Elephas maximus indicus: one gene and its partners. The protein of the gene in region 4 interacts with the protein of the main gene of each other region in a pairwise test. Links are inferred from orthologs where the notes say so. Each region holds a gene or a part of one and is shown on either strand. Other genes may lie near its edges.

The links.
Region 1: the proteins of CRYAB (region 4) and CRYBB2 interact in a two-hybrid assay, tested with the Homo sapiens proteins (2 studies listed by BioGRID and IntAct). The link is inferred for Elephas maximus indicus from reciprocal best matches to the Homo sapiens genes CRYAB and CRYBB2.
Region 2: the proteins of CRYAB (region 4) and LBH interact in a two-hybrid assay, tested with the Homo sapiens proteins (2 studies listed by BioGRID, with this or other methods). The link is inferred for Elephas maximus indicus from reciprocal best matches to the Homo sapiens genes CRYAB and LBH.
Region 3: the proteins of CRYAB (region 4) and gamma-crystallin C interact in binary tests that used the Homo sapiens proteins (3 or more experiments, as listed by UniProt). The link is inferred for Elephas maximus indicus from reciprocal best matches to the Homo sapiens genes CRYAB and CRYGC.

What each region holds. Positions count from the first base shown.
Region 1 is NC_064840.1:31,512,480-31,520,764, forward strand, and holds the start of CRYBB2 (beta-crystallin B2), read right to left. Parts: upstream 3,194-8,285; 5' UTR 3,173-3,193; intron 3,120-3,172; exon of another isoform or gene 3,030-3,119; intron 1,796-3,029; 5' UTR 1,770-1,795; coding exon 1,716-1,769; intron 1-1,715. UniProt on the Homo sapiens protein: Crystallins are the dominant structural components of the vertebrate eye lens.
Region 2 is NC_064830.1:49,963,404-49,970,732, forward strand, and holds the start of LBH (protein LBH), read left to right. Parts: upstream 1-4,136; 5' UTR 4,137-4,352; coding exon 4,353-4,378; intron 4,379-6,887; coding exon 6,888-6,990; intron 6,991-7,329. UniProt on the Homo sapiens protein: Transcriptional activator which may act in mitogen-activated protein kinase signaling pathway.
Region 3 is NC_064824.1:106,974,120-106,981,322, forward strand, and holds gamma-crystallin C, read right to left. Parts: upstream 3,194-7,203; coding exon 3,185-3,193; intron 2,607-3,184; coding exon 2,364-2,606; intron 680-2,363; coding exon 407-679; downstream 1-406. UniProt on the Homo sapiens protein: Crystallins are the dominant structural components of the vertebrate eye lens.
Region 4 is NC_064825.1:6,983,238-6,991,565, reverse strand, and holds the start of CRYAB (alpha-crystallin B chain), read right to left. Parts: upstream 3,310-8,328; 5' UTR 3,166-3,309; coding exon 2,965-3,165; intron 1,827-2,964; coding exon 1,704-1,826; intron 237-1,703; coding exon 33-236; 3' UTR 1-32. Other genes in the region: HSPB2 (heat shock protein beta-2), read left to right, coding at 4,253-4,346, 4,858-5,312; C7H11orf52 (uncharacterized protein C11orf52 homolog), read left to right, coding at 5,363-5,390. UniProt on the Homo sapiens protein: May contribute to the transparency and refractive index of the lens. Has chaperone-like activity, preventing aggregation of various proteins under a wide range of stress conditions.

The DNA of each region.
Region 1 (8,285 bases), on a different chromosome or scaffold from region 4:
CTGGAAGCTCTGCCGAAACCTGTCCACCATGGGTGACCCTGCTGGTATTTGAAATACTGGTGGCATAGCTTTCAGCATCACAGAAATGTGTAAGCCACCACAGTATGACAAACTGACAGACAGGGGGTGGAAAATTTAATATGTGTTATCTAATCCTTAAAACTTGCATTGTCTGATATGGCAGCCCTTAGCTACATAGGGCTATTAAGTGTATGAAACTGATTCCAATTAAGATGTATGAAAACGATGCAGACCCTCAACAAGATGGACTGACACAGTGGCTGCAACAATGGGCTCAAACATAGCAATGATTGTGAGGATGGCACAGAAGCTGGCAATGTTTCGTTCTGTTATACATAAGGTTGCTATGAGTCAGAGCTGACTCAAAGGCACCTAACAACAACAACGTAAGTGTAAAATACACATCAGATTTTTAAGGTTTAGCTTGAAAAAAGTAATTAAAATCTCCCTAATAATTTTTGTATTGCTTGTATGCTAAAATGCTCTTATTTTGCATATATTGGGTTTAATGAGATACAATATGAAAACTGATTTCACCTGTTTCTTTTCACTTTTTTTTAATGTGGTTACTAGAACATTTTAATTTACACATGTGGCTCACATTATACTTCTGCTGGGCAGCGCGGCTCTAAGCCACACGACACTGAACTTGTTGTCCCTCACACTCACCCCCCTGGTTCCCACCCCAGGGCCTTTGCACTTGCGGTTCCCTCTGCCTTGGTGCCCTCTCCCACCCCCACCCCAATTTGCACACAGCTGTCTCCTCACTGGTCCCAGGTCTCTGCTCAAATGTCACCTCCTCAGAGAGGCCCTTCCTGACTACCATCCCTTGTCCACCTGACTCTTACAACCCCCTTAAATCTACTTTATATTTCTTGCTAGCAGTTCTCATTACTTGAAATCACATATTTGTTTATTGGCTTATAGTCTGTCCTCTAGAAAGTCAGCCCCATGAGGGATGGAATAAGGGTGAAGAGAGTGAGGGGCTACCTCGGCTCAGCTTCCCCGGCCAGCAGGCCCCAAGCTGGACAAACAGAGAGTTCTGGGATGGAATTCATGCCCTGGGCTCCTGAAGTGGGCAGAGAGGCACGGGAGAGCAGCCAGGTGGGTGGTAGGTGGTGGCGGTTTGGGGGCAGATTGGGTGTGATGAGCCTCTGACACCGAGATTAGATCCCATTGAGACCTGACATTGGATGAGACAGCAAAGCAGACCAACGAGCTGGCGTTGGGTGCACACTCACAATGCGTCAGGTGTCAAGGGGAGCCCGGTTTCTTTGCCAAGTCACCATCATCCTATGGCAGAAGTCCCACCACTCTCCCCATTTCATGAAGGTCAAGGTCAAGGATCTGGTCCAGGTCTCACAGTCTTGCAGGTGTGGAGTCGGATATATAGTCCACCCTACCCCCACTCACCAGCTCCAACTCAGACTGCAACTGGGGAGCCCCCATGGGTAATGGGGTTCAGGAGACAAGGCAGAGAAACTTCAGGCTCTGATGCCGGAAGCTGGTGATGGGAATCTAGGTGGTCCAGCTATGACAGGGGAGGGGCCTTCAGAGGTGGGGAGACTGAGGCCCAGAGAGGGGGCAGGGGTGGGAAGGGGGAACCCTGGGAGGGAAGACACCAGCCCTTTTTACAGAAGAGGATACTGAGTCTGGGGGAGGTTCACTGCTGGCTCACCCTGTGAGGTACCCACCTTGGGGTTGAGGGGCTGCTGCTTGCCCACTTGAGTCTGGTGGTCTGAGGCCATGGTGGACTTCCCCGTGCAGAAATGACCTGGAAGGCATGGAGACCAGCAGTTAGACCCTGCCCTCATGGAGCGGTGGACGCTGAACCTGGGCTTTCTCACCCTGCTGGTGGTGAGGGATGACTCAAGGCCACTCCACTGAGCCCCAAGCCCTGTCTTGTTCCCCCTGGTCTCAGTTTGTCCTAGAACCTTGGGGTCTGCAAGCAACTGCCTGAACATTCACCATTAACTTCACTTCTTTATATCCAGGTCAGCTCCAGGAAAAAGAGGAAAAAATTGAGGTCTATGCCAGGGACGTGGTGATAAACCAGAGCCTACGCAGGGTCCCAAGTGGGTTCCCATCATCCAGCTCCAACCAATAGACACCATACAGAACACAGAACAGCGATACCAGAATTTCTGCCTTGATGTGGATTTTCTTGATTGAAGGCAAATGGCGTGAAGCAAACCAAAGCCATGCCGTGGCCATGTCTGTCTTATGGCTTCCAGTTTGAGACCTCGCAGAGTCCCCTGCACCCCCTGCGCCCACCCCTGCCCCAAGCTTCTTCCCTAGACTCCTCTCCCCGTTCCCGGTACCCAGAATTCTCCTCTCTATCATCGGCCTTACTGGGCCCCATCAGGGAGCGCAGCTGCTGTGGAATTCTACGTTACAAGAAAGCAAAGGCGTAGTGGAGGAAGTTCAGGCACTGTCATAGGCAGCAGGGGAGAGAATTTCTTGGCTGGTGAAAACATCAGGGTCCCTGGGTGGCGCGAACAGTCTGCACTTAGTGGCTTCTCAGAAAAAAGGCCTGGTGATCTGCCTCCATAAAGATTACAGCCAAGAAAACCCTATGATTCTACTCAGTAACACATGGGGCCACCTTGAGTCAAAATCAGCTCAGGGACAACGAGCTTGGTTTTTGGTTTTTAAGGACATCAGAAAAATCTGGAAAATTGTCAGGCTCTTCTCACTTCCATGGGGTGGCAGCCAGGACAGGCCTCATTTCCCGAGGGGCAAGACAGGCGACCTGACTTCCTTCTCCAGAGACAACATCCAGCTTCCAGAACCTCCTTCCACATTAGAGGCCAAGGCTGGACATCCCCAAAAGGACATAATTCAGTTAAGCAGCTGTGAGCCAAACCTGCTCTTCCTCCGCAACGAGCCCGCCCTCTGGGGCTGCCAAGGCACCTGAGTCTCCACCACCCCACCCCGCAGCCATCGGCATCCTGAGACTAAAGATGAAGCCCGCTCGGTCCAGCTCGGGAGCTGACACTGTGGCTTACCAGCCCTGAGGCCCTGGGTGAGTCACATCCTCTTTTTGTGCCTCACTTTCTTGTCTTTAAAATGGGGACAGTAATAGAGTGCCCGAAATATCTGTGGGCAGGCGGTGAGAATTCGGTTATATAAAGCGTGATACTTCCGGCACCTGGCAGAAAGCTCTGCACACGCTGGGCTCCCAGGAAATGACAGCAATTGTGAGACTATCAGGGTTATTTCTACCAGGCACCAGTGTTTTGAGTCACTTGTTGCTGGGAGATCTTTCAGCACTACAGCAGTTTCCTCTCCCGTGGTACTTTGCCGAGATTGGGCACCGAGCGGGCGGTAATGTTTGCTGGTATGCAAAGAGCCGATGCACCGCCCTAGATGTGACGCTGAACTACACTGGCTCAATTCCTTCTACTTGCAAACCCTCCAAGTTAGATTCTGCAGTAAAACAAGGATGCTGATGGACTGGCTCCTCCACCTGTCTGTCAGTTTGTCGTACTGTGGTGGCTAGTGTGCTGCTGTGATGCTGGAAGCTAGGCTGCCTGTATTTCAAATATCAGCAGGGTCACCCATGGTGAACAGGTTTCAGCGGAGCTTCCGGATTAAGACAGACTAGGAAGAAAGGCCTGGTGATCTACTTCCAAAAATTAGCCAGTGAAAACCATACGGATCACAACAGAACATTGTCTGATATGGTGCTGGAAGATGAGCCTCCTAGATTGGAATGCACTCAGAATACACAGTGGCTGCAACAATGGATTCAAGCACACCGATAATCGCGAAGATGGCTCAGAACCAGGCGATGCTTCGTTCTGCTGTACGTGGGTTGGCCATGAGTCGGAGTCAATTCAACAGCAAATAACAACAACAAAAATGGTATGTTTAATAATAATAAAGAACACTCCCACTATATGCCAGGCACTGTACTGGACTGTTCACCTACCTTATCTCTAATCCCCTCCACAAGGGAGGTTTTATGATCTCTCTCCCCATTTAACAGAAAAGAAGACTGAGGCTTAAAGCATTGAAGTCTCTGCCCAAAGTCACCTTGTCAGAAAGTGGCAACATCTGGATTGGAAACCAGGTCTCCTATGCGATGTATCAGGGATGAGAATGACAGAAAAAGGCAAGGCAAGCAAGAGAGGCATTCTTACCAGTGACACCAGCCCCCGCGAGTGCTCCTGAGGCCTGGCCAGCAGGAGGTGGCCTTTATACCTTCCCCAGAAGTGCCAGCGCCAAGATGGGTGATTGCTGCGTAGCCGCGGAAAGCAGAGTGAGAATGCTGGATTAAGCCCACACCAAAGCCTGGCTCAGCAAATGCCCACAAACATTGTGTCTCCACACAATAATGTCATTAGCTGTCAGATTCGGCCTCGCCAGGGTGGTCAGGCGGCTGGACCGGAGGATACCCACTTTGCATGCATCAGCCATCCAGCTGCCAGGACCAGGGGCATACTGGGTTCATGGGCCTGGTCAGTCAGGCCCTGGGGCATAGCGGATGCAGACAAATCTCCGTGATCCTGGGGAGGAATAAGCAAAGGAGGGTGCTTGGCAGGGCAGGCATTCATCCAGGAGCCCTGGGTGGTGCACAGGGTTCACACACTTGCCTACTAATTGTAAGGCTGGTGATTTCGGTCCACTCAGAGGCACCTCGCAAGGAAGGCCTGAGCATCTACTTCCAACAAATCAGGTGTTGAAAACCCTGTGGAACACAGTTCCACTTTGACACACACATGGGGTCGCCATGAGTCGGAGTTGATTTGATGGTTAGTGGTATCCATCCCTCCATCCCTCCATCTCTCCAACAACTATTTACCAGGCATCTACTTGGTGCCAGGCTCTGTTATGGGCGATAAGATCAAGAAGGGGACTTAACCCAGCCAGGCCTTCAAGGGAAGCTCCTGGGAGGAGGAGTCCCTGAAAGATGGAGAAACAGCGGCCTGGGGAGGAGAGTGGGGAGCTAGTTCCAAGCAGAAGAAGGGGCCCATGTGCAAGGAGATTGCATGGTGGGTTTAAAGTGCAAATGCTTGGCTGCTAACTAAAAGGTTGGTGGTTTGAGTTCACCCAGAGGTGCCTCAGAAGAAAGGCCTGGCAATCTACTTCTGAAAAATCAGCCATTGAAAACCCTATGGGGCAGTTTTACTCTGACACACATGGGGTAGCCTTGAGTCAGAATCGACTTAACAGCAACTGGGTTTTTTTTGGGGGGGGGCGGATTGGAAACAGGTTCATGTGGCTGAAGTGAGGCAAGTGATGGGACAGGGGTGCAGGACTTCAGTTACATTCCTCCAGGTGCCTGATGTATGTCTTGACTGAATTCAAGATCAGGCAGGAGGGCGGGGACAGCACTGGGGCCTGGAAACTGAATCTAAGGATACTTGTTCCCCCGCCTCCCGTCCCCCCAAAACACACATAGACACATATAACTCATACAGGGACACTTATATGTACACACATATGCAGACACACACATACACACAATCACCACCCCACTAGCTGTGCCCTTTCTTTCTGTAGCAGAGAGGTGCCTGTGGGTGGGCTTAGACGCCAACCTTTCAGTTAGCAGCTGAACATGTTAACTGTTTGCATTACCTAGGGACCTCACTTCCCACTTATAAGGATCTAAATATTTTAATTCACAGATAATATAGCACTCATAATTTATGTTGTTGTTGTTTGCTGCGGTCGAGTCAGCCCCCAACTCATGCACAATGGAGCGAAATGCTGCCTGGCCCTGCACCACCCCGTGCTGAGTTATAGATCAGACCCATTGTGATCCATAGGGTTTTCATGGGCTAATTTTTGGAGGTCACCAGGCCTTTCTTCCTAGTCCATCTTAGTCTGGAAGTGCAACTGAAACCTGTTCAGCATCAGAGCCACACACAAGACTCCACTGAGGTATGGGTGGTGGCTACACATGAGGTGCATTGGTCAGGAATTGAACCCAGTTCATAATTACACCCTTTGTGAAATGAGTCAACTTGTGTGAACCCCGCAGGAGAGTTTCTAACCCATAGAAAAAAAAAAAATTTTTTTTTTGGGCACTAAGTAATTGTAGCTCTTACCTTAATCATTACCATGACATCTACATGGACTTCAATATTGTCAAAGCCTATTACATTGCTTTCTTATTCATCCTCTCATTAAAGAAAATGCCAGGCTGAAGATTGTCAGCAACTTGGATGTCTCTATACTCATTCATTCGTTTATTTCTACACCCAGCAAATACGTCTTGAAGACTGACGCTGTATCAGCTGGGGGTGAGTGGTGAGGGATATAGATAGGGTCCCTGCCTTGGTGGGGCTTCAGCTGACACCTTCTTAAGATCTCAAAGTACTTCACCTTTTTTTTTTTTTTTACTGTGGTGAAAATATGCATAAGAAAACATATGCCATCTCAACAATTTCTACATGTACAATTCAGTGACATCGGTGCATGTCAACCTTTCTCACTATCCTTTTGGTGTGCAACCGTCCTCTCTATCCTTTTCCAAATCATTCCACCACCATTAACATAAACTCAATGCGCCCTAAGCAGTAACTCTGTCCTTCCCCCCTCCCTCCTATCCCTGGCAATCACTAGTAATCTTTGGTTTCTATATATTTATTTCATATAAGTGAGATCATACAATTTTGTCCTTTTGCGGCTGACTTATTTCACTCAGTCTGATGTTTTCAAGGTTCACCCATGTTGTGGCCTGCATCAGGACTCATTTCTCTTTATGGCTAAGTAGTATTCCATTGTGTGATTAGACCACATTCTGTTTATCCATTCGTTGGTTGATGGACATTTTGGTTGTTTATACATTTTGTCTATTCTGAAAAGTGCTGCAACGAACCTTGGTGTACAGGCAGCACTTCACTTTTTGGGGTGACTGGAGCAGGTCACTCATCACTGAGACAAAGAGCTTACTGAGCTGGGACAGGATCTGTGGTCTCTGTATCCAATGCGTAGTAGGTTTTCAGAAAAGATTTGTTGCCTGATCAACTTAATTCATGAGTAAGAAAAGAATGAGAGGGTCTTAGTTTAAATTCTACCAGCAAGAGGCCTTCCTTCACACAAGAGTTCAAGTGCAGATAGTTTACTGATCCCGGGAAGCATCAGTAGGGAGAGGGGAAGTGAGACAGGGAAGCAAAAGCAGCCAATACAGGGTGTATTAGTGAGCAAGTGTCACCGAGCCTTCTTCAAATTAGGTGGGGTCGTGTGATTTGTCCTGGCCAATGGATTCTGAGCAGACGCAACAGGTATAATTTCCAGGTCAAAATTTTTTATTGACTTTCCAGTGCTCTCTTCTTGTCCCGTGCCTTGAGATGGCTGTGTTATAAGATGGTGGAAACTCTGTTGGCCTGGGCGAAGTGCCCCCTTCTGACTAGCATTAGACAGGTGACATGAATAAAAAATCCACCTTTGTTGTTCTCAATCACCCAGACCTGGGGCTATTTGTTAAGGCAGTGTAACCTGACTGATACACAGAGAGAAAGGGCTTAGGGTTTCCTCTCCACTCATCTTCCTGTTCCCATGAAAAGAAGAGGCCACAGTGTCCCTTTGGACAAACAGAGTGTAGTCCTTAGATAAAAAGTCCAGAGCTGGAAGGAGCCTCTGAGATAATCAAGCCCAAGGGTTTTTGCTTCTTTAAAAACCAACATTCTCATCTTAGGACAATTACTTCCCTTCTTAAGACCCTACCTCTTAGGCCAGCCCATCTCTAGACACTGAGATGGATTCTAGCCCCAGTGAGGAGGGCACTGAGTCAGTCTTCCCACAGGCCTTCCCTGACCCAGGATGCTCAGGAGCTGGTCATGCGACAGCCTTGGGCCCAGTGCCCCTCCTCCCTTTCATGGGGAGCCCTGAGCCCAGTGCCCATGATACTGGTCATGCTCAATAATCCATAACCATTGCCACTCCAGCACCATCAGCAGCAATGGCAGCAACATTAGGTTGGCCAGCCACAGCATCAACAGCTGATGAGATGGGACAAAAGGGCTTGGAGCCAGACCTGAACTTGAGTTGCGGTCCCAACACTTACCTGCTATGGTACTTGGGACAATTGACTGCCACTCTCTGGGTCTCAGTTTCTCTCTCTGTAAATGAGGCTCACTATTACCTGTCTGTGGGTCAGAGACGATCCCATAAAGAACCCAGTAGAGCACTTGGTTGTTGTTATTGTTGTTACCACTGCTGCTGCTGTTGTTGTTGTTTTCTACTATATACCCCTGCTGGCTGCCTGTCCCTAATGAATACATCAGGGCGTGGGGGGCATAGGAATGAGAGTC
Region 2 (7,329 bases), on a different chromosome or scaffold from region 4:
AATATCCTTTAAGAAGCTCTCAGATCGGATTGCCAGGGTGGGGAATTTGTTTCTTCTGCCTACCCTGCCCACTGGATAGACACCAGGATTCCTGGTCTTTACTGCAGGAACCAACACTTTTGTATTCAGTTTATAGTTTAGCCATTAAAACAAACAGACAAAACCACAGAGGTTACGGTAAATGTACTATTGTGGGGAAAACATAGACTTCGGAGCCAGTAAGCCCCAGAGTCAGATTTTGGTTCAGCAATTTAAGAACCATGTGGCCATGGCCAAGTTGCTTAACTTCTCAGAGCCTCTATTTCTTCGTTTGTAAAATGGGGGCAATAATACCTATGTCTTTAGGTTGTTGTGAGAAATAAATAGATACAAGTATACTTCAACAAATGTTGCCCTTTCCCTTGCCTATCTTTCTTCCCTAAGGTCAAACAGCTACTTCACTGAGGTTCCTTATTGCTAACCAAGAAGTCCTCCACTACTAACTTAAAGGTTCGCAATTTGAGCCCACCCAGAGACACCTCAGAAGAAAGGCCTGGTGATTTGTTTCTGAAAGGTCACAACCACAAAAACCCTATGGAGCACAGTTCTGCTCTGTGCACATGGAATCGCCATGAATTCAAATCGCCTCAAGGGCAACTTTTTTTTAAAATACTAACCAAAGTACCAGCTTCATGGCAACCCAGGCAAATTAAATGTAATACTTTTTTTTTTTTTAACAAGCAAAAGGAGAGGTAGAATGTTGGGAATATGTTGCTAAATGAATTTAGATGTAGACTTTTTTTACTAGATGAATAATTAGACACATATCCCTTGTACCGTGGCATGCTTGTGACCATGGTTAACTCTAACAGGACCTTAAGTTCATTATCTCTTTTTAAAAAGTTATTTTAGGTGGGAGAGAGAAGGAGCTTGAAAATTGGACATACCTAATGTTGGAAAGGAAGACAGTGGTTTTGGGAATGTTGGAAAGGAAGACAACTCTAATTACACTATTAAATTCCAGGATTTTTATCAAAGCAGGATCATAAATCAGCCCCTTAATTCCTGGGGACAAAGGTGAGAGAAGGGGGGGAGTGCAGAAGGCTCTGACTGGGTGTTTACTGCTCTGCACATAGTAGGTGGTCAATAAAAGCTGGTGATAGATTGAGGCTGTTTAGAGAGTCCAGGTCTAGTTTGACCTTTGCTGCTAACTTCTTGGCAAATGTGGTGCAAGACATCGTGTTGGAGGGAAAAGAACATTTGACTAGGCACTGAAGGCCTGTGTTCAAGTTCCATCTACACCACTTAACAGTCTGGCAGCCCTGGATGTGACACTTAATCTCTTAAGAGTCTTCTCACCTGTGAAATGAGGAGACTGAACTAGGTGATTTAGAAGGTCCTTTTCAGCTCTTGAGGTTCTGGGACTCTAAGTAACTTCATTCGCTTATGTTTACATTTCATTTACAGGGATAGAAACCTGTCTTACAGGGCATTGGTAAGAAACGGTCAGTCTGCATGTTGAAATGCCCTGCATCTCTAGAGAAAGGAAGAAAACGCAGTGGCCCAAAGCAGTGTAGCAGAGTGGAACATTCTGCTACAGAGCGGACTGGTGAGTCTGTCTCCAAGCTCTCGAGTTCCAGCCACTTAGTAGCTTTGTGATATATGTCAAGTTCCCTGATGTGTTTCAGTCTCAGTTTGCATATCTTTAAACTGGGGACTGTAAGTTGTGAAAATGCTTTGAAAATCTGCAATACACTATATAAACAAAGTATTATTGAGAAATGGCATGCAAATAATTTACTTGTTACAGTTTTATCTAAGTTTTGTACCATGTTTCCTAGTATTTTCAAATGAATGGTTGTATCACCTTAGTCCCAGAGGAGAGATTCACTTTCCACTCCAATTTACGGACAGAGGTGATGTTAAGTCACAACGGGCATTACTAAAAAGCCTACCAAAGCTACCGCCCAGTCAGCCTCGCAGCTTTTGAGGGCCTCAAACCTGGGTCTCCCAAGTGGAAGGTGAGACTTCTATCACTGAACCACCACTACTCTCCACCATAGACATCAAGTAGTTACCCCAATGTTCCACAGTCTAGGGATTTTTTTTTCCAGAGACCAGACACCAGCTGGTGGAAGCTTTAATTCTCCAAAAGATAGCATCTTGCCGCTTCGGGTGTGTATGTCAGGAGTAGGGAGGCTATGGAGTTAGTTTTCTGAGAGTTTTGAAAGTTCCAATATTCCAAGGCAATAATAACAAACGTGTAAAGTGTTGGAATGCAGAACCTGAGATGGCCTTTCATCCTCCCACCTGCCAGGGATTGCTACTCTGGGGAGAAATGGCCTTGCTCACCCAGGGCCTTCTTAGCTCGAAGTTCAAAGTAAGATCCCAGCCTGTAAACCGGATCTCCCAGCCTCAGCTTCCTCTTTGGCTACATGCATGGCAACATGCCATACCCAGTTGGTGACTGAAAAGTCTCCCCATTCTATGCAGAGGGCACAAACAGCCCCCACTGTTAGCTGTGACCCCACACCCAGGGCATCTCCCATCAGCTCCTACGAATAAAGCATTGCCCTCTGCCAGGCCACCACCACCACCAGAGGAGCAGAATGGAGTTGGGGCTATGCAGCAGAAATCAACTTCTGGTTTATCTTGTGGGGGCTGGGGAGACGATCTGGAATTTGTCTATAGAAGGAGCTTAGGGGTGCTGATCTGTTTGGAATGGGCAGCTAGGGGGCTTGTCTTGGAGCTGCATTTCATAAGGTGCACACTGTTTTTTAAGATGTATATGTGCATGGTTAAAAATAGCAAAGTTGTTTCAAATTTAATTATTCTTACAAATTCTTATAGATCATTTTTATTTGGGTTGATTTGGGGATGAAAGTTATGAGTTTTAAGGGTCAGCCCCCTCATGGCCCTGCCACTGTTAACCCTCACCATTAATCTCATCAACTTTTTATGATTTCCACTTTTTAAGCACACATATCCATTGATTCAATACATCCATTGCCTTTCTTCCAAAGAACTGACTGACTTTAGAGCAGGTTAATTTTGTTTAGTTTTTGATAGTCCCCTCCTTCCCCCATCCACTACACACACACGTCAGAGTTATAAAGTCATTTTACAGGAGAAATTGAAGGAGAGGCGTGAAGCGACGCGCTCCAGCCACAGAGGGGCAGCGCTGGGTACCGAGTCAGGCTTCCTTCCAGGCTCTGGCGGCTCGCAGCCTAATTGCCCGGACAGACTTACGGAGCTAAAATTCCTGGGCAGTGTGGGGGTTCAGCTGAATTGCCAGCTCTTTGTTTCTTCTGTCATAGGTCGACTCCTTGGGACGGATCTGAGAACCAAGGCTGGTGGCGTGTGCTCGCGCGCTGCCGACCCGCACCCCCTCACGCCTCTGCCAGCCCTGTGTGCACGTATGTGTCCAGTGAAAAAACCCTAGTACGACACTACATCCTTTCTCCCACAAATAAAGCCCTCCAAGGATGATCTCATGGCTGCAGACTAGCCCCTCGCAAGCCAACTCGACTCCCGCGGGCGCTCGGTTCTCCAGCTCCGCGTCTCCCCCTTCTCACCGCTTATTTTTCAGCCGTGCTCTCGCTTCTGCGCAGCTTGCTCTAGGTGATGGTTCCAGGGAGAGGCCTAGTTTGGGGAAGGAGTGCTGAAGAGGAGTCCCGAGGTTTGGGCTGAGTAGCGGGGTACCGAGGAGAACGCTGACGCCAGGGAGCCAGGTCACGTCCTAGCGGGTCCCAGCTTCCTCCCCACGCCCACCTCCTCAGCCCGGGAGTCCCCGGGGGCGTGCGCAGGGAGGGGGTGTGCAGACGCGGGCGTGTCTGTGAGCTGGAAGCGGCTTTGACATTGAACACTAGCTCCGGTGTGTGCGTGTGTGTGCGTGCGTGTGTACACGCGCGTATCTGCGTGTGTGAGAGTCGTGGGGAGGGGGCCGGGCTAGAAGCTGCAGCAAACCACAGCCCTTCTGGGTGCAGCGCAGAGCGCGCTCCCGAACCGCCACCCGCACGGGCTGTGAGCTCTGAAGCCATTCATGATTTTGGTGACGTTATTCCAGAAGTGGGCGAGGGAAGGCGGGGCTTCCAGGGGCCAAGCCCCGCCTCCACCACTATAAATACTGCTTCGCCGGCTCTTTGTGGGGCCGGGAGCTCGGTGGAGAGTTGTGTTCTGTGTCTGCTCTGCAGACGCCGCTGGCTGTGGGGTTGTCGCGTGAAGGCGGACTGGCGAACGTCCAGTGCCCGCACTCGGCCGCCTGCCTACCTCCCTGTCTGCCGTGCGTCTTTCTGCGCCCGTGTCATCCTTGCTTGGGACGCGGTGACCGTTTTTAAATCACAAAGGCGTGGGTCAGCCTCCCCTAGGACTTCATGTCTGTATATTTCCCCATTCACTGGTGAGTATCCTGCGCCCTTGGTGGATGTCCGTCTCGCGGCCGTGGGTGCCTGTCCCGGCGGGCGCCTACTCGAGCCGGCTCAGGGTGCGAGCGAAGCCGGCGGCGCCGACGCCCAACGCTAACCCGCAGCCCGAGCTGGTGCAGGAGTCAATGTCAAGGTTGCAACGGTGGGGGTGGGGGAAGTGGTGCTAAGAACATCCAGACAAAGGAAGTGAACTTGGAGCCCTCACCCGAGTGACGGCCGGAGGATGTGAATGTGGGGTGGGAGGGTGGATGGAGAACCAGAGGTCACGCCGGAAGCCCCGCCGTTAAGTCCCCTAATGCGGAGGGCTGCCAGAGGCGCGCGCCCTGCCTGCTTTGGGGGCCCTTGCTCTCCCCCGGCCCCTCCCCTTTTTCTTTTTGTTTGCAAGCAAGTCTCGACGTCCAGGCCGGTGGAGCTGGTGCAGCAGCGCCGTTTGCAGAGCTTCAGGGGGTGGGGAAAGAAGCGATCTCACACATAAAGCCACTAGCGGCAGGGTACACGCTGCCCTCTTTCGACCCCTTCCCTCTCCATAGTCCTAAAAAAAAAAAAAAAATCGAGTCGTCTTTGCAGGGGGCCTAAAGAGAAGTCGCCCTCGCAGTGCCGGGCTGGAAGGAGCCTGGGCCGGGCGGGGGGCGGCGGAGGCTTGTATCCCGCCTGGGGATCCGGACCGAGAGCGATGCGCCGCGGGCGCGGCTCTAGACGCGGAGCAAGGCCCCCGCGCCGGGGAAAAGAAGGAGCGGCCCGGGGCGAGCGCTGGCAGCCCCGGAGCGCGCTTCCAGGTGAGGGGGTGGACAACCCAGCCCCGGCGGGAGAGGCAGGCGCCGAGCGAGAGGCAAGCATCCGCGCGATCTTGCTCAGGCCCGCAACCGGGAAGTTCACTGTTTCTCACCTCAGCTCTTCGGGTCCGCACCACAGCCCGAAGCGAGGAGACAGCGCCCTTACACCAGGCGAGGAGCCTGGCGAGCGCCCCGTGGTGGCTCCTCTGGCCCATTTCTTTGGGAGCCGAAGGTAGATTTTGCATGACTCGGGAAGAAACTCCCGTTCCCGCCACCCCTGTGGTGTGTGAGAGGCCAGATGACCTGTGGGTGAGGTTTTGAAGACTGCTGGAGGTGTCTATGCCCCTGGCCACTCAAAGTCGGCCAAGGGTAGACAGATGCCCATCAGTGTATTATCCCCTGAGAAATTGAGGGTTAGGATTATTTTATAGCTGATTAATACTTCCTAGTTGTAACTTCCCCCCCCCCCCAGGTATTAACTATTATACATAATGGTGAGGTAAGCATCATCAGCATCATAGTAACAGAGGAACAGGACACCTGTGGCTCAGAGAGGTTCTATGACTTGTTCAAGATAACACAGTCGTTAGTGGCAGAGCCTAGACTAGAACACATTGCTTGTTTCCAGTCCAGTGACATTTCTACTCTATGTAGTAACAAAATGAAGAGGAGTCTGGTGCACCTGTTTCCCTCTAAAGCCTGGTCCTCATTTTTTTTTTTTTAATTCATGTGTAAAGGTATGATGGTGGAAATACTAGGTGTTGTGTAGAGGGTCCGTGGACTTTGGTGTGTACTATTTGGTATTATGCGTACAGGACCCTGTGTGGGCTCATGGCTTGTGTAAGGATGTGGGAGGATAATGGAACGTTTGTATCCTGCTTATAGAATACAAAGCACTTTCACATGTCAGCCATTGGTGGACCAGCTTGGCCCCTCTGGAAATTTCCTTTGCAATCGGAGCCCTGGTATCCCTAAGGGTTTTAATCCAGGGGATGTTTCTCAAGCTGTGAGTTTGCAGCTGCTGTAGCTGGAGCTGGAGAATGGGGTTGGATGGCACATGTGAAGCCTGCAGAGGTGACCCTTTGGGTTTAAGTGGGACATTTTTGCAAAGAAGAGCACCAGAGAAATAGGGAAAAATGTAGGAGGACAGCGTGATTGGACTTGATTCCCTGAGGTTGACCTGTTACTGTTATTATATAATAATAATATGTGTGTTATTATTTGATAATAATATGCAGTTCGTCTTTGGACAAAATTCATGTGAGGATAATTTTTTTTTTTTTATCTTTTATCCAGGAGGGATACAGGGAGACTTGGTTGAATTGGTTTCAATTTAGACAGATGGATTCAGCTACTTACTTTTTTTTTTTTCTAGTTCTGTCATTTATAAAGAAAATCCGGAGTTGCTTCTGTGCTTCTAGAAACAGAAGCAGTGGGTTCTAATCTGATGGATAAATAGGAGAGGAGAGGAGCAGAGGTTTGCTAGAGAGATTTTCAGACAATGGCCTTTGTTGGTTGAGGTTGAAAACCCGGACCTGTGGGCTTATGAGGCACTTTTTCAGGTTATGAGCTTGTTTTTCTGTGAGTTCTGTTTTGAACACTTCTCATCCTGTCTCCAGACAGTCCCCTGATCTAACAACAACGGATGTACTGAGAGTGGGAACGTGAAATTGCGTGTCTTTGTTGACATTTGGTCTGGGTTTCTTGGCAGCCCTGACTATCTGAGATCTGCTGAAATGACTGAGGTGATGATGAACACCCCATCCATGGAGGAGATTGGACTCAACCCCCGAAAGGGTGGCCTTTCCTATCAGGTGAGTTATGTTCTGAGTCCCCTCTGGCTCTTTAGAGGAGGTAGCTTTTGCTTGGGCTGGAGGCAGCAAAAATCCCATGCCACTTGTAAGAACTTTGTGACCTCAGGAAAGTCCCCTAATGCCAGTAAGCCTCAGTTTCCTCCTCTCTAAAATGAGGACAACAATAGTGTGTACCTCATGAGGCTGTGGTGAAGATTCAACATGATGAGATAAGTGCAAGGCATTCGTAGTGCCTGGGACACAGTAAATGTTCAACAAACATTAGCCTTTGTTGTTAACTAGCCATCCTGGCTGCTGTAAACTCTTCCATTCACGGTGGCAAAGAAGGAAATGATTTAT
Region 3 (7,203 bases), on a different chromosome or scaffold from region 4:
GAGCCACCCTATAGGACAGAGCGGAACCGCCCCATAGGGTTTCCAAGGCTGTTGTCTTTACAGAAGCAGACGGCCACGTCTTTCTCTCATGGAGAAGCTGGTCAGTTTGGACCACCAGATCTTCCGGTTAGCAGATGAGTGCTTAGCCACTGCACCACCAAGGCTCACTTTTTTCTTTCTCAGATAGGCTATATGGTCCCCCAACCCCAGTTCTGAACCTTGCCAAGACTCACTCTGCTTCTTGAACAGCCACCACCCCCATTCACTCTTCAATCTTTAATGGGGGTAGTTGTAGGTGAGTGAATTTGCACACAACAGAAGAAAAACAGAAGTTGACAATTGCCAACAATACAGACTAAATATTTTATTAGATTCCAAACTAAGAAAATGGTAGCGTTAACCTATTTTAGTATAAATCCACAACCCTCTGCAAAGAGCCTGCCTTAGCATCCATAGCTCCCCAGTCCTGATACTGCCTATACTCTCTCGGCCTCAGTAGGTACTGTCGCCCGCAGTAGTTGGGCATCTCATAGAGGACCCAGCAGCCCTCCAGCACATGGAGGGAGCGAACCTCACTGAATTGGAAGCGGTCCTGGAGGCAGGAGCAGTCCTCGATCAGCTCCATCATGAGGCCTTTGTGGTCATCTCTCTCATACAGCCGCATCCTGTGGGAGGCTGTCTGTTGGGTCCACAAAGAAAAAGCGGAGAAGAAAATGAACCTCTTCCAGAATTCATCCAACCAAACCACAGATGAATTTGGCAGGCTGGGGCATGGGATTGTCAATGTGAACATGGAGATCCTGAGATCCCTGTGAATGCTGTGTGTGGCAATGTTTCTTCTTTTTATAATTTATTTTACTTTTTATTGTTGCTGAGAATATTCACAGCAGAACATACACCAGTTCAACAATTTCTACATGTACAATTCAGTGATGTGTCTGTTTCTTACCAAAAAAACCAAAAACCAAACCCGTTGCTGTCGAGCCGATTTTGACTCATAGTGACCCTATAGGATGAAGTAGAACTGCCCAATAGGGTTTCCAAGGAGTGGCTGGTGTATCTGAACTGCCAATTCAGGTTGGCAGCCTGAATTCTTAACCACTGTGCCACTAAGGCTCAAATAATTGCATAGTTGTATTCTGTTTCTTATCTAGGAGATGGATTTTTTTTTTTTTTTTTTTTTGCACGTTTTATTCTGCCCTCTTGGTCTCATATCGTTGGTTGTTTTGAGGAGCACATTTCTCACGGGTGTTAGTGTTCACTTTTTAGGACTGCTTACTGTTTGGCTGAAAGGTGATCTTCTGGAGTGTGCTCTGTTCCAGGCTTGAAGAGTGTCTAAAGGCCATAGTCTAGGGGTTCCATCAATCTCAATCTGACCAGCAAATCTGGTATTGTTTATGAATTTGAATTTTGTTCTATGTTTTTCTCTGGCTCTGTCCGGGACCCTCTATTGTGATCCCAATCAGAGCCTTTGGTAGTGGTAGACAGGCACCTCTAGCTCTTCCGGTCTCAGGCTAGTGGAGGCTGTGGTTCTAGTGTGGTCCATTAGTCCTTTGGCTTAACTGTTTAGGAGATGGGATTTTTAAGAGGTTTGAACTCTGAGTTAAAATCCATCAAACTCAAATATCTTGATTCCTAATTCCCTGTGCTGTCTCAGACCTCTCTTTTGGGGGAAATGTGAATCATTTATTTGATTAATATTTTTTAATAAGAGTGCTATCTCCCTAAAAATAAACAAACATACCACATTTGTATCTATGTATAGATTGGTTACTAAAAGAGGATTTTAAAAATCACATACATTTGTAGAAAATTGGTTTAAATAGTCATTTGGAATCAGAATTGAACTCAAGTTCCAAATTAAGGAAAATCCCAAAGCTGGATACTACCTTTGAGTAGATTATATTAACAACCCTCTGAGTCGGAATTGACTCAACAGCAACCGGTATATTAAAAACAGAGTTTTTGATTCTTTCCAGTCCACAGTGGAGCCTATCTCATTCATTTATTATAGATTCCTTTACTATAGAAAAAATTTGTTAGAAATACTGCCTTTTTTTGCCCAACAAACTTCCCATTTGCAAGTTTTATTTCATATACTATTATAATGTTACATTTGTTATGGACAGCTTTTGATTTACCTAATGGTAGCAAAAATTAAAAATAAAACTGGCTCTTCCTCTAAGTGAATTCTTCCCTAGGTTCTCTACTGTTTTTGTACATGTGCCTATCTGTGCTTCAGCACGTATCTAAGCCCTCTTGACCCTCATTGTTTTTAAAGGACAACCTCCCCTGACTCTAACTGCAGTCATTAATACAGTGAGGATACTCAGGCCCCAAGAGTGAAACCAAGAAGAACTCACAAAGGGGATCAGACAGCAGGAAAGGACCAAGTTGCTGAGGCCCATCCACTGCTGGTAGTCGGGGTACTCGCCCCGGTGCAGGAAGTACTGGTGTCCCTGGTAGTTGGGGAGCTCGTAGAGCATCCAGCAACCACTGTCCACCCGGATGGAGTTGCAGCAGCTGAAGAAGGTCTGCAGGTTGGGACAGTCGCTACTGCACTCATAGTAGCGACCCTGGAAGCCCCGGTCCTCATAGAAGGTGATCTGCAAAGAAAAGATAATTCCAAATTATCACCTGCTTCCAATAGAACTTTTTGCACACAGTGAAAGACAACGGAAGTCAGCAATTGCCAACAACTCTTGTTGTATGCCGTAGATTCAATTTTGACCTATAGCGACCCTATAGGACAGAACAGAACTGCCCCTAGAGATTCCTAGGCTGTAAGTTTTAAGGGAGCAGATTGCCAGGTCTTTCTCCCAAGGTGCTGCTGGGTGAGTTTGAACTGCTGACCTTTTAGTTAGTAGCCAAACTCTTAACCATTGGGCCTCCAGGGCTACTTAGGCCTTGTATTTAAAAAAAAAAAAAAATTGTTGTCCAGTCGATTCTAACTCACAGCGACCCTAGAGGACAGAGTAAAGTGGCCCCATAGGGTTTCCAAGGCTGTAAGTCTTTATGGAAGCTGACTGCCACATCTTTCTCCTGTGGAGAAACTGGAGTTCCAAATGCTGATTTTTTCAGATAGCAACGAGTGCTTAAGCACTGCGCCAACAGGGCTCCATAGACCTTGTATAGAAGCTGTTTTTTTTTTGCCCCCTTTCTGTCTAACTTGTGTTCTGCTCACCTTTCCCATGGCTGGTTGACAGGGATGATGCGAGTTCAGCGTAACTGGGTGGCAGCAGCAGCAGGTCTATATAGCAGGACGGCTGCTGCATCGGCAAGAACAACACAAAAGGGAGCCCGCCTGGTGAGTAAGGGGATTTTAGGGATCCCTTTTACATGCTGCATTCGGTGGAAATAACCGTTGATTTTGCCCTCGTTCTCTAGTACATTCTAATGCTGTCCTGTATGGTCTGTTCTGATGAGTCTTTAAAGCCGCTTTTATTTGAATTCTTAGTGTTCTCTAAATTTATCAGGACAGACTGAACTTTTGACCTGAAATTCATGTCTTTACATACATGATTCAATTATTCTCCATGTGCTTTCTGAAGAAAATCTATGCCATTACAGAAATGCTCCAGAATTTCAGAGAGGCAGCTTGTGAAATAGAATGAGGCAAGCATTAATTTTCCTTGTTGGTAGAGACCACTTTATCTTCAAATTTCTTTCTTTATGTGGTTTGCCATTCCAGTGCAGGAGAAACCTAGGTTCTGATCTTTGCTAGGCCTCACCACCTTGACTCCATGCTTTCATAGCTATTAACTTCCCCCTTGGTGGTTGCATTTCAATTAACTGGAAATCAGTTCCTAGTGATAAACTCGTGATAAGAAACACCCATTAATCCACTGCTGCTGAGTTGATTCCAAGTCATACTGACTCTACAGGACAGGGTAGAACTGTCCCATAGGGTTTCCAAGGCGATAGCTCTTTATGGAATAGAGCGCCACGTTTTTCTCCCATGGAGTGGATGCTGGGTTTGAACCACCTACATTTCAGTTAGCAGCTGAGCACTTAACCACTGTGCTACCAGGGCTCCTGAGTAGTGGATTGCTTTGTAGGTTGTTTCCCTCTTCCCAGAGATGGGAGAGGCAGTAGAGCTTCAAGAGTTGCCTGGACTCAGGACATCTATTTAGCAGCTGCATGAACTTGGCAAGCCATATAACCTCTCAGAGCTTCAATTATTTCATGATACTTATCTCTTGGGAAACAGTGTAATGAATGAGAAAGAAAGAAAGAAGGAGAAGAAGAAGAAAAAATAAGCCTATTACATTTGGAAGCTGGACTAGCATTCACAGGCCATTTATTCTCCTAATTAAAAGAGAAAACAAAACAAACAAAAAAACAAAACAAAACAAAACCTGTTGCCTTCGAGTTAATTCTGAGTCATAGCTACCCAGTAGGATAGTAGAACTGCCCATAGGGTTTCCAAAGAGCAGCTGGTGGATTTGGACTGCCAACCTTTTGGTTAGCAGACATAGCTCTTAACCACTGTGGCCACCAGGCTCCTAATCAGACATAAACAATCTCACAAAATACCAACATCGGACCAAGTTTCTCTGAGACCATAATGAAGACTACAGCCTTCAGGATGGATTATACCTCAACATAAAGAAAACAAAAATCCTCACAATGAACTGATAAGCAACATCATGAAAAACACAAAATCCTGAAGTTGTCAAGGATTTCATTTTACTTGGATCCACAGTAAACAGTGCACAACCAACTCCCATAGGAGCAGCAGTCAAATCAAAAGACAAATTGCAATGGACAAATCAGGTGCAAAAGACCGTAGAGTGTAGAAATGCAAAGATATCATTGTGAGGACTATGGGGGCACCTGACCCAAGCCATGATATTTTCAATTGCTCATATGTATGCAAAAGCTGGACAGCCAATAAGGAAGACTGAAGAAGAATTGATTCCTTTGAATTATGGTGTTACGAAGAATATTGAATGTACCATGGACTAGCACCAGAAGGATGAACAAATCTGTCTTGGAAGAAGTGCTCCTTAGAATCGAGGAAGGCGAAACTTTGTCTCACATACTTTGGACATGTTATCAGGAGAGACCAGTCCCTGAAGAAGGACATCACACTTGACAAAGTAGTTGTTATTGTTGTTAGGTACCGTCGAGTTGGTTCTGACTCATAGTAACCCTATGTGCAAAAGGATGAAACACTTCTGGGTCCTGCACCATCCTCACAATTGTTATGCTCGAACTCATTGTTGCAGCCACTTTGTCAATTCATCTTGACCTCTGTTTCGCTGACCCTCTACTTTACCAAGCATGATGTCCTTTTCCAGGGACTGATCCCTCCTGATAACATGTCCAAAGTATATGAGACGTAGTCTCCCCAACCTTGCTTCTAAGGAGCATTCCGGTTGTACTTCTTCCAAGACTGATTTGTTCATTCTTTTGGCAGTCAGTATTACATTCAGTATTCTTCGTCAACATCACAATTCAAAGCCATCAATTCTTCTTTGGTCTTTCTTATTCATAATCCAGCATTTGCATGCATTTGAGGTGATTGAAAACACTATGTCTTGGGTCTGGCACACCTTAGTGTTCAAGGTGAAGTAAAGGATCAGTGAAAAAGAGGAAGACCTTGATGCAGTAGATTGACACAGTGACTACGACAATGGGCTCAGACATAGTGATGATTGTGAGAATGGCGCAGGACCAGGCAAGGTTTTGTTCTGTTGTACTTAGGGTTGCTATGAGTCAGAACCGACTCAACGGCACCTAACAACAACCACATGATGAAACGAGACAAAATATGGTGACTTCATAATTTTGTTTAAGCACAGACAAAAACAAAGTCAATATGCTACCCACAAAATACCAAACACTCCTCTCTTGGCCAGACTGATTAACTGCTACTTGTTAATCAATTACAACTATGTCTTTGTTCTAGCCTCACTTTCATATAGGTAAGATTTACTGAGATACTCAATCATAAAATTACCCCCGTTTCCTGACAACACCTATTCTAGCGTGAACCCCTGCCTTTCTTACATTTACCCAATCAAAGTATACCCTAAATCCTTAACCCTTTCCAGCATCAACTGAAGAGGTTACTAGGATCCTGTAGGACATCCATCCTCCCATTCCAGGACTAGGTGGTGCTTGCACTTCAGACCCTCTTGTTTCTTTGAGGTCCCAGTGTTCATTTTGCAGAGAGGAGGCAGAGAAGAAGTGAGGAGTAGAATTAGAAATTAGTTTGGGCATAATCTCTTCCCCAGGCCCCTCCCCACTATTGATTTTCTCTTTTTGTAGGCATTAAAGACTCCATTTTCTTGTACCTCAGAAGTGGAGGCAACTAGTTTTCAAGAAGAAAGAGTTAATTAAAGAAATCCAGTGTCTTAGATTCCTAGTGCTGCCATAACAAAATTCCACAAAGTAGTGGCTTTAAACAACAGAAGTTTATTTTCTCACAGTTTTGGCGGCTAGAAGTCTGTATTCAGGACATAGGCAGGGCTATGCTCTCTCTCAAACTTTATTCCTGACTTCATCTCATCTCTCCTATTCTAGTTTTTTCTCTGACCCAATGTCCTCACTTGCCTATTTTTCTTTATGATATTGTAATTTGTTAGTAGCTACTTTAATTTTCAAAAATAAATATAAAGAACATACAATCTGGAAAACTTCAGTTCTTTATTTTCCACTTAGTATATTCTCTTTGTAGAGTGATAATACCTTACTTCCTATTAAAATGATGTGAGGCTGAGTTTCCCCACGTGCATGTAGTTTTGGTGAATATCCTGAAATTCTTCTTCAAGCATATATATAGCAGAAAGACAGTGAATCTATATTTGGACCAGAAATCTCATGGAGGAATGGGGTATCGGTAATAGAATTGAGAGAAAAAGGGCGGTGGCTTTTAGAAGGATACAGAGTGGAGTAAGTGAGAATATACCTGTTTGTGTATTTATTTATGGAGGTAAGGTAAAAGTGCTAATGCCAAGAACAACTTTTCTCATTAGGTAAGAGTTGGACGATATAGGGAAGATATCTGGTCGTGATAAACTGGAGGGACAATTTGAGGTGTTTCAATAAGCACTAATTCATCATTGGAACTACAAATATGTCCGTAAAGGACTAACTACAAATGAATTTAGCCCAATTGAATGGAACTTTTCTTTCAGCCTCCAGAGTTTAGACATTAAAAGAGTACTGGAAATAATATTCTTCATAAGAAGTTAC
Region 4 (8,328 bases):
TGTTTTAAAAAACGTAATTAGAGAAAGGGCATCTATTTCTTGGGAGCTGCAGTGACAGCAGGCTTCTCTTCACGGGTGATGGGAATGGTGCGCTCAGGGCCAGGGGCCTGTTTCCTTGGTCCATTCACAGTAAGGACCCCATCAGATGACAGGGATGAAGTAATGGCAAGAGGGTCCACATCAGCTGGGATCCGGTATTTCCTATGGAACTCCCGGGAGATGAAACCATGTTCATCCTAATCCAAGGGAACGAGGAAAGAAGCAGAGAGATAAGAGCAGGAAATAATACTTCTCGCCAAAACCTCAGACAGCCCCGCTCCCCTTAAAAAAAAACCTGTTGCCATTGAGTTGATTCCGACTTATAGCAACCCTGTAGGAAATCCCATAGGGTTTCCAAGGAGTAGCTGGTGGATTTGAACTGCTGACATTTTGGTTAGCAGCCAGGCTCTTAACCACTACACTACCAGAGCTCCTTACTCCCTTTAGGTAGAACCAAATGCCATGGCAGCATGATGAGAAAAAGCTAAATAGCTGTTCATTTCAGTTTGGTGCTAAGACAAAGTCACTTAGTGGTCACTGCTACCAATAAGAGTCTGAGAAGTCTGAAACACCCCCAGAACTTCATAGTTCCCTAGACCCTGAGGCATGGATATGTTTAGGTATATTTCCTAAAGATTTAGATCAATGTTGGCTGGGCCTATAGGATATGAATCTCATTTCAGCAGGCCAGTCCCTGAGGAAGCCCAGAAATTGTCCTTACTCCAGGAATGTTCCAGACCAAAAAGACTGCTGCTAAAGAACAGTTACTCCATCCAGGGAGACTGTGACCCAAACTTAAATCGAGTGAGCAAAGCTGAATCAGCTTGAGGGTGTCAAACGGTTCTGTTTGATGTACAAAGTTCTAAGTTCTCACTAATTGGTGAGAAGCATGTTCATTTAAAAATTCTCCCAAGGAGTAACAAGAAGCTGTTCCATTCTTCAGAATCCCCAAAGAGTACTTAGCCCTAACCCTTATACTTGCTAAATCTCAAGCATTTATTCAGGTAGACTTTCAGTGAACTGATTACCAGTGGGTTCTAGGGTATTAGGAGCTAAGTACAGTTCTGAAAAGTAGACAAACCAAGTAGTTCAGCAATAAGATGGGTTTAAGCAGTAGATTCCTGAACATCTAAAGGAGTCACAAACTCAAATGCCTTTAGGGTGGATGCAGTCAATGTCATTATGTGAAGCAACCAGGTGTCTGACAAGCGCTATGCCTAAATCAGGGGTTCCCAGCCTAGACTCAACACTGGATTTACCTAGTCAGCTTTAAAAACTACTTACACGTGGGTCCCACCCCTAAATATTCTGATTTAATTAGACTGGAGTGCACCTGAGCATTGGGATTTTTTAAAACTCCCCTGATTCTAATTGGCTAAGGCGGAGAACCACGGGCTTCAATGAAGAGTGAACATTCCATACATCCCCTCTAAGGCAATCATATCAAAACAAACAACACAGGCCACTTCTCTGCCCCCCAAAAACAAAAAACCTGAAACAAAACAGGTTTGTCACTCATTTAGTCTCCTAGCTACCGATGTGTGACCCTGATGTAGGCCCTTACGGCTTGGGACTGGGATGTTGCCAGCCTCAGAGGCTGATGGCACTGCCTGGCATAGAGCAGGCACTGAATGAATGGGTGGAACTAAACACAAGCTACATACCTGGCGTTCTTCATGTTTGCCATGCACCTCAATCACATCTCCCAGCACCTTGACCTTGAGATCCTCTGGAGAGAAATGCTTCACATCCAGGTTGACAGAGAACCTGTCCTTCTCCAGGCGCATCTAGAAATAGCAGAATGGGGCACAGGAAGAAGGGATAGAAGAAAAGATGCCAGGAATGTTAATTATCTTGGTGTTAATCTCATTCTGTAGAGTTGTTTTCTGTCCAGGTAGTTTATCTTCTTCTTTTTTAGCCAAAAATCTCTTTTTGAATAAGTATGGCTCTCTGGGGTAGCCACCACAGTGGTACCCAAAGCATAACACTTGGTTATCAAGCCCAAACTTTATTTACAGGGACAGGGATGAAAGACAGGCCACCCAGGGGGACTTAACAAATCACAAGGACGGGCCTGGCATGGCTTCTGCTGCTGCTTAACCCCAATGCCTGCTCTTGTCATTTGTCTGTAAGACAAAGGCCCCTTTCTTCTTGCTCGGGTCTCTGCCAAGTTTCCCACCCACTCAATCTGGAATATTCTGCTGGTCCTGTTTGTCCTTCCAACGCCCTTGCTCACTCAGCTACTGTTTACTCATACTTGAATATTTTTAAACCAGAGTGTTATCTGTGACAGCTTCTGCCAACCATATCTGTTCACCCCGTACTCCTCCCACTCTTTTAGGACAAGTGAGGGGGTCCCAAGACCAGACCTACATTCCTTCCTCATAAGGCTTAGATACAGGCAGTGCCCAGTTACAACTATAAGAAATGCGGAAAATCACAGAAGAGGGAATAGAAAGGAAGAAAATAATGGTTGTTGTCTCCGGTTCCACCCAACAGGGATGAAAGCTCAAGCTGAGGGAGGACTGTCTCCTGGCTCTGAAACTTGAGATGATAAAATCTGTCAGGAGTATGATACATCATAAGAGGTGAGCAAAGAAGTCTGGAGGCAGCTTTTCTACTGCAGATCTTTATGAACCGAATTAGAGAAGGGGCATCCTGCTTGGAAGTTAGCAGACAGAGGATGATCTTCATAGTGCACGGAGAAACGTAATAAATAGGATGCAGAGAAGCTTCAAATAGAAACAGGTGACTGGGAGAGGTGGGTGCTAGGGACCTTATCTTTCTTCATGTCTGGACACACATCTAACTGAAACACTTATGAGACTTGAGCATAATCAGGTTTAGTCAGGGAAAGAAAGGAAAAAAGAAAGAGAAGAAAAGTTCCAGGAAGAGCTCTCCCGTTCTGGCAGAGAGGAGACTCACCTCTGAGAGCCCAGTGTCAAACCAGCTGGGTGCCCGCAGAAAAGAGGGTGGTCGAAGATAGAAGGGACTCAGGGAAGTAGCAGTTGGGAAGAGATCAGACTCCAACAGGTGCTCTCCAAAGAACTGGTCAAAGAGGCGGCTAGGGGAGTGGAAAGGAAAGAAGGGGCGGCGGATCCAGGGATGGTGGATGGCGATGTCCATGATGGCTAGGTGAGTGTGGGGGGTCAGCTGGCTGGTCAGCTCCTTCAGCCGCAGCTACAGCCAGCCCCTTATATATGCAGTCTTGTGAAGCTTCTGGAATGGTGATGTCAGGGGTTTTATTATCCCAGCTCACCGCCCGTTCATGGAGACTTGTGATCGGGGATTTGGCAGTGTGACACATACCCAGTACTCACTGAGCTAAGAAAAGAGAAACACAAACACGTCTGAGCTGGCCAGTAACTTGTCCTGGTCTTGTTTCACTGGCTTTCTCATCTACATCCCATGGCAGCCCCCCACCCCCCCACTTCTGTTCTTGGGGACTGGGACAGAGTCAGGAATCCCAGGCAGGCGGGTGTTGTGCCCCTCCCCCTCCTCTCCGGTCTTGCATGCCAGGGGAATCGGGCCAGCAACTATCTTGGGCCTGTGCAGGGACTGGAATCTTCGGAGGCTGTGCCCCAGGAACATTAACTCTTGTGGGTCCCTGAAGCAGTGATCATGTCAGTGCCAGGCGTCTGCGTGGGTTTCCCTGGGTTGACCTGGGTTCGGGAGAGGACCCTGACTAATCTGGGCAGGAAAACCCTCTCCCCACCCCACACCACCCCCATTAAGCCCACAGAGAGGGTAGAAAAGTTTCTTTCATCTTTCACTCTGCCAGGCTCAACAGAACTTTACATCCAGGAGTGCTTTATGAAGTACGACACACTGTGCCTGCGACTGAGGAGGAGAAAGGGTGGTGTGGAAAATGTGCAAACTGTTCGTGAGGGTCTCAGCCGTGCCTCTCCTTAGCTCCGGCGCCAGCCTCCCTTCCCCTAGCCCTCTCCCGAGCCAGGACCCCCAGCTGTCATCTCAAGCACCCTGCGACAGCTGAAGGGGGGGAGGGGTCGGGGGTCCGGACGGCGCTGGCTTCACACTCTTCGCCCGCACTCAGGCCCCCGCTCCCGCCCTCCCTCCAGAGGCTCGGCACTATTTTGGGTGGTGTAGACCCCGCCCCCACCTCCGACCGAGCTGCTCTTCGGGCAGCAGGAGGGGTCGCGCTGCGCCTGTTGGGGCTGCAGCTCGGAACAGGGCCGCCTACGCGTCTACAGCCATGTCTGGCCGCTCGGTGCCGCATGCCCACCCCGCCACCACCGAGTACGAATTTGCCAACCCGAGTCGCCTGGGTGAACAGCGCTTCGGAGAAGGTATGGCACACACGCCACCCCCAGCCTCCCACCCCCACCTCCTGAAATTCTGGGCTGACCTCCCAACATTACTGGCCTCCACCCCACTTCAGGCTTAACTGAACTCCTGGGGCGAGCCATCTCCCACCCCAGGCTGCTTTCCCCCACCTCCAAGTAAGAGGGCTCTTTCTCTTTCTTACTGCCCTCAGGACAGACTAGGTGCCACGATACTCAGATCCCTGCCCCTTGCCCCACTTGGTGTGCCTGCTTGTTCCCCATCTATCCACCCTGCCCCAGTTTGGTTTACCCTCCCTCACCCCATCTCATTTCCTTTCTCAGTTCTGTCTCCCCAGCTGCCTCCTTCTCTTCCCAGTCACCTTGTCCCTTTCTCTTCCCCTCCCTGCTTCTCCTGAATCCCTCCTGTGGTCCCAATCCGTCCTCATCTCTTGATCAATTCTCAAAACATCCCTGTTCCCACCTCACCTTCCTCATCCTGCTTCTTTCCTTCTCTTTCTCTCTCTCTGCCCCTCAGGCCTCCTGCCAGAAGAGATCCTGACCCCTACCCTCTACCATGGCTACTATGTCCGGCCGCGGGCTGCCCAAGCTGGGGAGGGCAGCAGGGCAGGGGCCTCAGAGCTTAGGCTCAGTGAGGGCAAGTTCCAGGCATTTCTGGACGTAAGCCATTTTACCCCAGATGAGGTGACCGTGAGGACTGTGGACAACTTGCTGGAGGTGTCTGCCCGGCACCCCCAGCGCCTGGACCGCCATGGCTTCGTGTCCCGGGAGTTCTGCCGCACCTATGTCCTGCCTGCTGATGTCGACCCCTGGCGGGTCCGTGCTGCTCTCTCCCATGATGGCATCCTTAACTTGGAGGCCCCTCGGGGTGGGCGACATTTGGACACAGAGGTCAATGAGGTCTACATCTCCTTGCTCCCGGCACCTCCTGATCCAGATGAAGAGGAGGAGGTGGCCGGAGTTGAGCCCTGACTGCCACAGACCCAGCACCCAGCAAATCCCTTTTTACTTCCCAAGGCGTGATGCTAGCAGCTGCCCACCATCCCAGAGGTAGCAGCATCCTTGGGGGAAGGGAAAAATGCATGGTCCACAATATATTGTTTGGTCCCTTGGGACGTGTCATAGCCTTTGGCTTAGTTCTGGGTAGAGTTGAATAAACCCAAATCTCAGGGCTTTGTTTGTGCTGCTCCCTATTCTGTGGCCTAGAGGAAGGGATGAGCAGGGAGGGAGGAGGTCATAGCTGGCTAGACATAAAGCACCTCAGTTAGATGTGCCATCGTCACACTTGGATGCTGAGATCACGCCCGGAAGCTGGCATTGGCTCCAGATCAAATTCCTAGCCATAATTTTCTCACAATGCAACAAAAGAGAGAGTGATCCTGGGAGGGGAAAGGGATATGCCATCCAAACAGTCCAGAGGACACTGTCTGAGCTGGTGATTAGAGACACAAAAACAAGAGTCTCCAGACTGTCTGGCCCTTTTTGGGTAGGGGTTGGGAAAACTGGCTGGAGAGAGTTGCCTAAAACAAAATACTTCATTTTCTCATGCTGAGGTCTGTTCACAGGAAATGGTCTCTGATTCCGAGAGACTAAATATGCATAGACAGGGACACAGACACAGGAATCCCTACCATTATCACCACACCACAAAGATTTCTCATGCTCCGCACAGAGGAGGCCCAAGAAGGAAAGCATTTGTCTCTAATCTTGGAACATCCAAAGAAAGACAGGAACTATCACATCACCTCAGCCAGTCAACCCAAGACCCAATGCAGGGGATCTAGGGCTATAGGGTCGCTATGAGTCAGAATCAACTCAATGGCAACAGGACTATTAGTGTAATAAGACAGAAAAAAAAAAAAATACAGTGGTGGTGACTGCCAGGGAAGCTTGCCTTGGACGTCTAGTACTAAGTATAGTCCTAAGACTAGGGGCATGGTGTATTTAGGAAAGCCTAAGGTCATGACCCCTCAGTCATGCTTTGCAGTCAAGAGAGCATGCATGCGTAAGATTTAGGGGGTGTGCAGAAGACCTCCCTGCCCCAAAACACATCTATGGTAAAAAAATACCTCAAATTCTTCCTTTCAAGTGGTGGTTCTTAACCTTTTTGGGTTAGAGACCCCTTTGAAAATCTGATAAAAGCCATAAACCCTCTTCCCAGAAAATGTACATGCCCCCAAATTTGGCTTTCTCATCCCTCTTAGCGATTCATGGACCACTGGGGTAAGGACCCTCACTTGAGGAATTCAATTTTTGGTTAAAGGTTGCCTTCTATTAAAAACGTAAGCATGCCTCAGAAAAATAACTATATTTTTGCTTTTTCATTCATTCAACAAATATTTATCAAGCCCCAGATAATACATCCTAAAGGTTATACACTGTAAATATAAAAAATATGTATGTTATTCTCTACTATCAGGAATCTTACTGTCTAGTTGAAAAAAGAATTTTTAAAAAGGGATCCATCCTACTCAGACTTCAACCAGAACAGCTTTGATCTGTTTTGTAATTGGGGTTTTGACACGAGCTTTATAGAAAAGATTGCTTAGCTAGAAAAAATATGAAAACCTCTGATTTAGTCCAATTCGTCACCATATTCTTCTCACATTATGAGCCAACTGTTGCTGGGACATTTTGAGTGACAGAGAACTTAAAACTTCATCTAGTAACACACTCCATTTTTTTTTTTTTTTTTTTTTTTTGATGTATCTGTTACAAGTTCTTCCTTCTATTGAACCAAAATCCTCATTTCAGTAACTTCTGCCTGTTGATTCTGGTTATGTCCAGAAAATAAATGCGGTTCTTCTTTCACTTGAAAATCCTTCAGGTATTTAAAAATAACCATCCTCTCCTCCTAAGGCTTACGTTTTCCCAGCTAAACATAACTAGTTCTTTAACTGTATCATATAGCAATTCCCATACTCTTGAACACATTGCCTTTTCGTAATGTAATTTGAAATTCAGCATCTAGACCTGAAAGTATTATTTCCAGTCATGGAATGGTATAGAGTTCAGTGGAAGAAAAAAATCCCTGTGTTTAACACTCTAGATTTCTATTAATGCTGCTTAAAGTACATAGATTTCCTGGCTACACAATACACTGTTAGTACCTTTAGAGTTTTTGGTCATCTACGATATTTTAGGGGCTTTCCTTTAGATTACAAAGGATATGGCTGGAAAGGGATCAGATTGTTTATGGTTTTGAGTGCCAGGCTAAGAAGTTTGAACTTTACTCTGTAGGTAACAGGAAATCAGTAATGGCTTTGTGGGGAGGGAGTGGGGAGTGTAATAGGACAAAAAGAATACAGTTAATGGCAGAATACTGAGTGGATTACAGGGAGAAGCCGGCCATGAGATAATAGTCTAGTGCCATGATCTAGGCACAAAACTAAAAAAAAGTAACATAAAATGCTTTATCATCTGAGAGTTAGCAGAGACACTAGAATAATAAGAATTATAACGACGTTGTTGTTAGCTGCCATGGAGCCGGCACGACTCATGGGAATCCCATGCACAGTGGAATGAAACAGTGCCAGGTAGTGGACTAGAGCTTTATATACATTATTTTATTTAATCGTCACCCCAATCCTATAAGGTTGTCACTCTTATTATTCCTGTTTTTCGTAAAGAAAGAAGATGGGGAGGAGTTAAAGAGTTCAGGGTACTCTGGAGTGCAGGCTGGGTGGTGGTTCCTGAATATCCGTAAACCTGTTGGCGGGCCAATTCGATTCTCAGCAAACCCACAGGACAGAGTAGAACTGCCCCATAAGGTTTCTGAGGCTGTAAATCTTTGCGGAAGAGGACTGCCACATCTTTCTCCTGCGGGGGGGAGGGGGGCTGTGAACCTTGACCTTTCAGTTAGCGGCCGAGTGCTTAACCACTGTGCCACTAGGGCTCCTCCCAAATATCTATAAGGGGCACATAAACACCTAGGCATCTGGGAAAGAGAGTAAAGATGGGGGCGAGAGCTCTGAAGACAAACCTTACA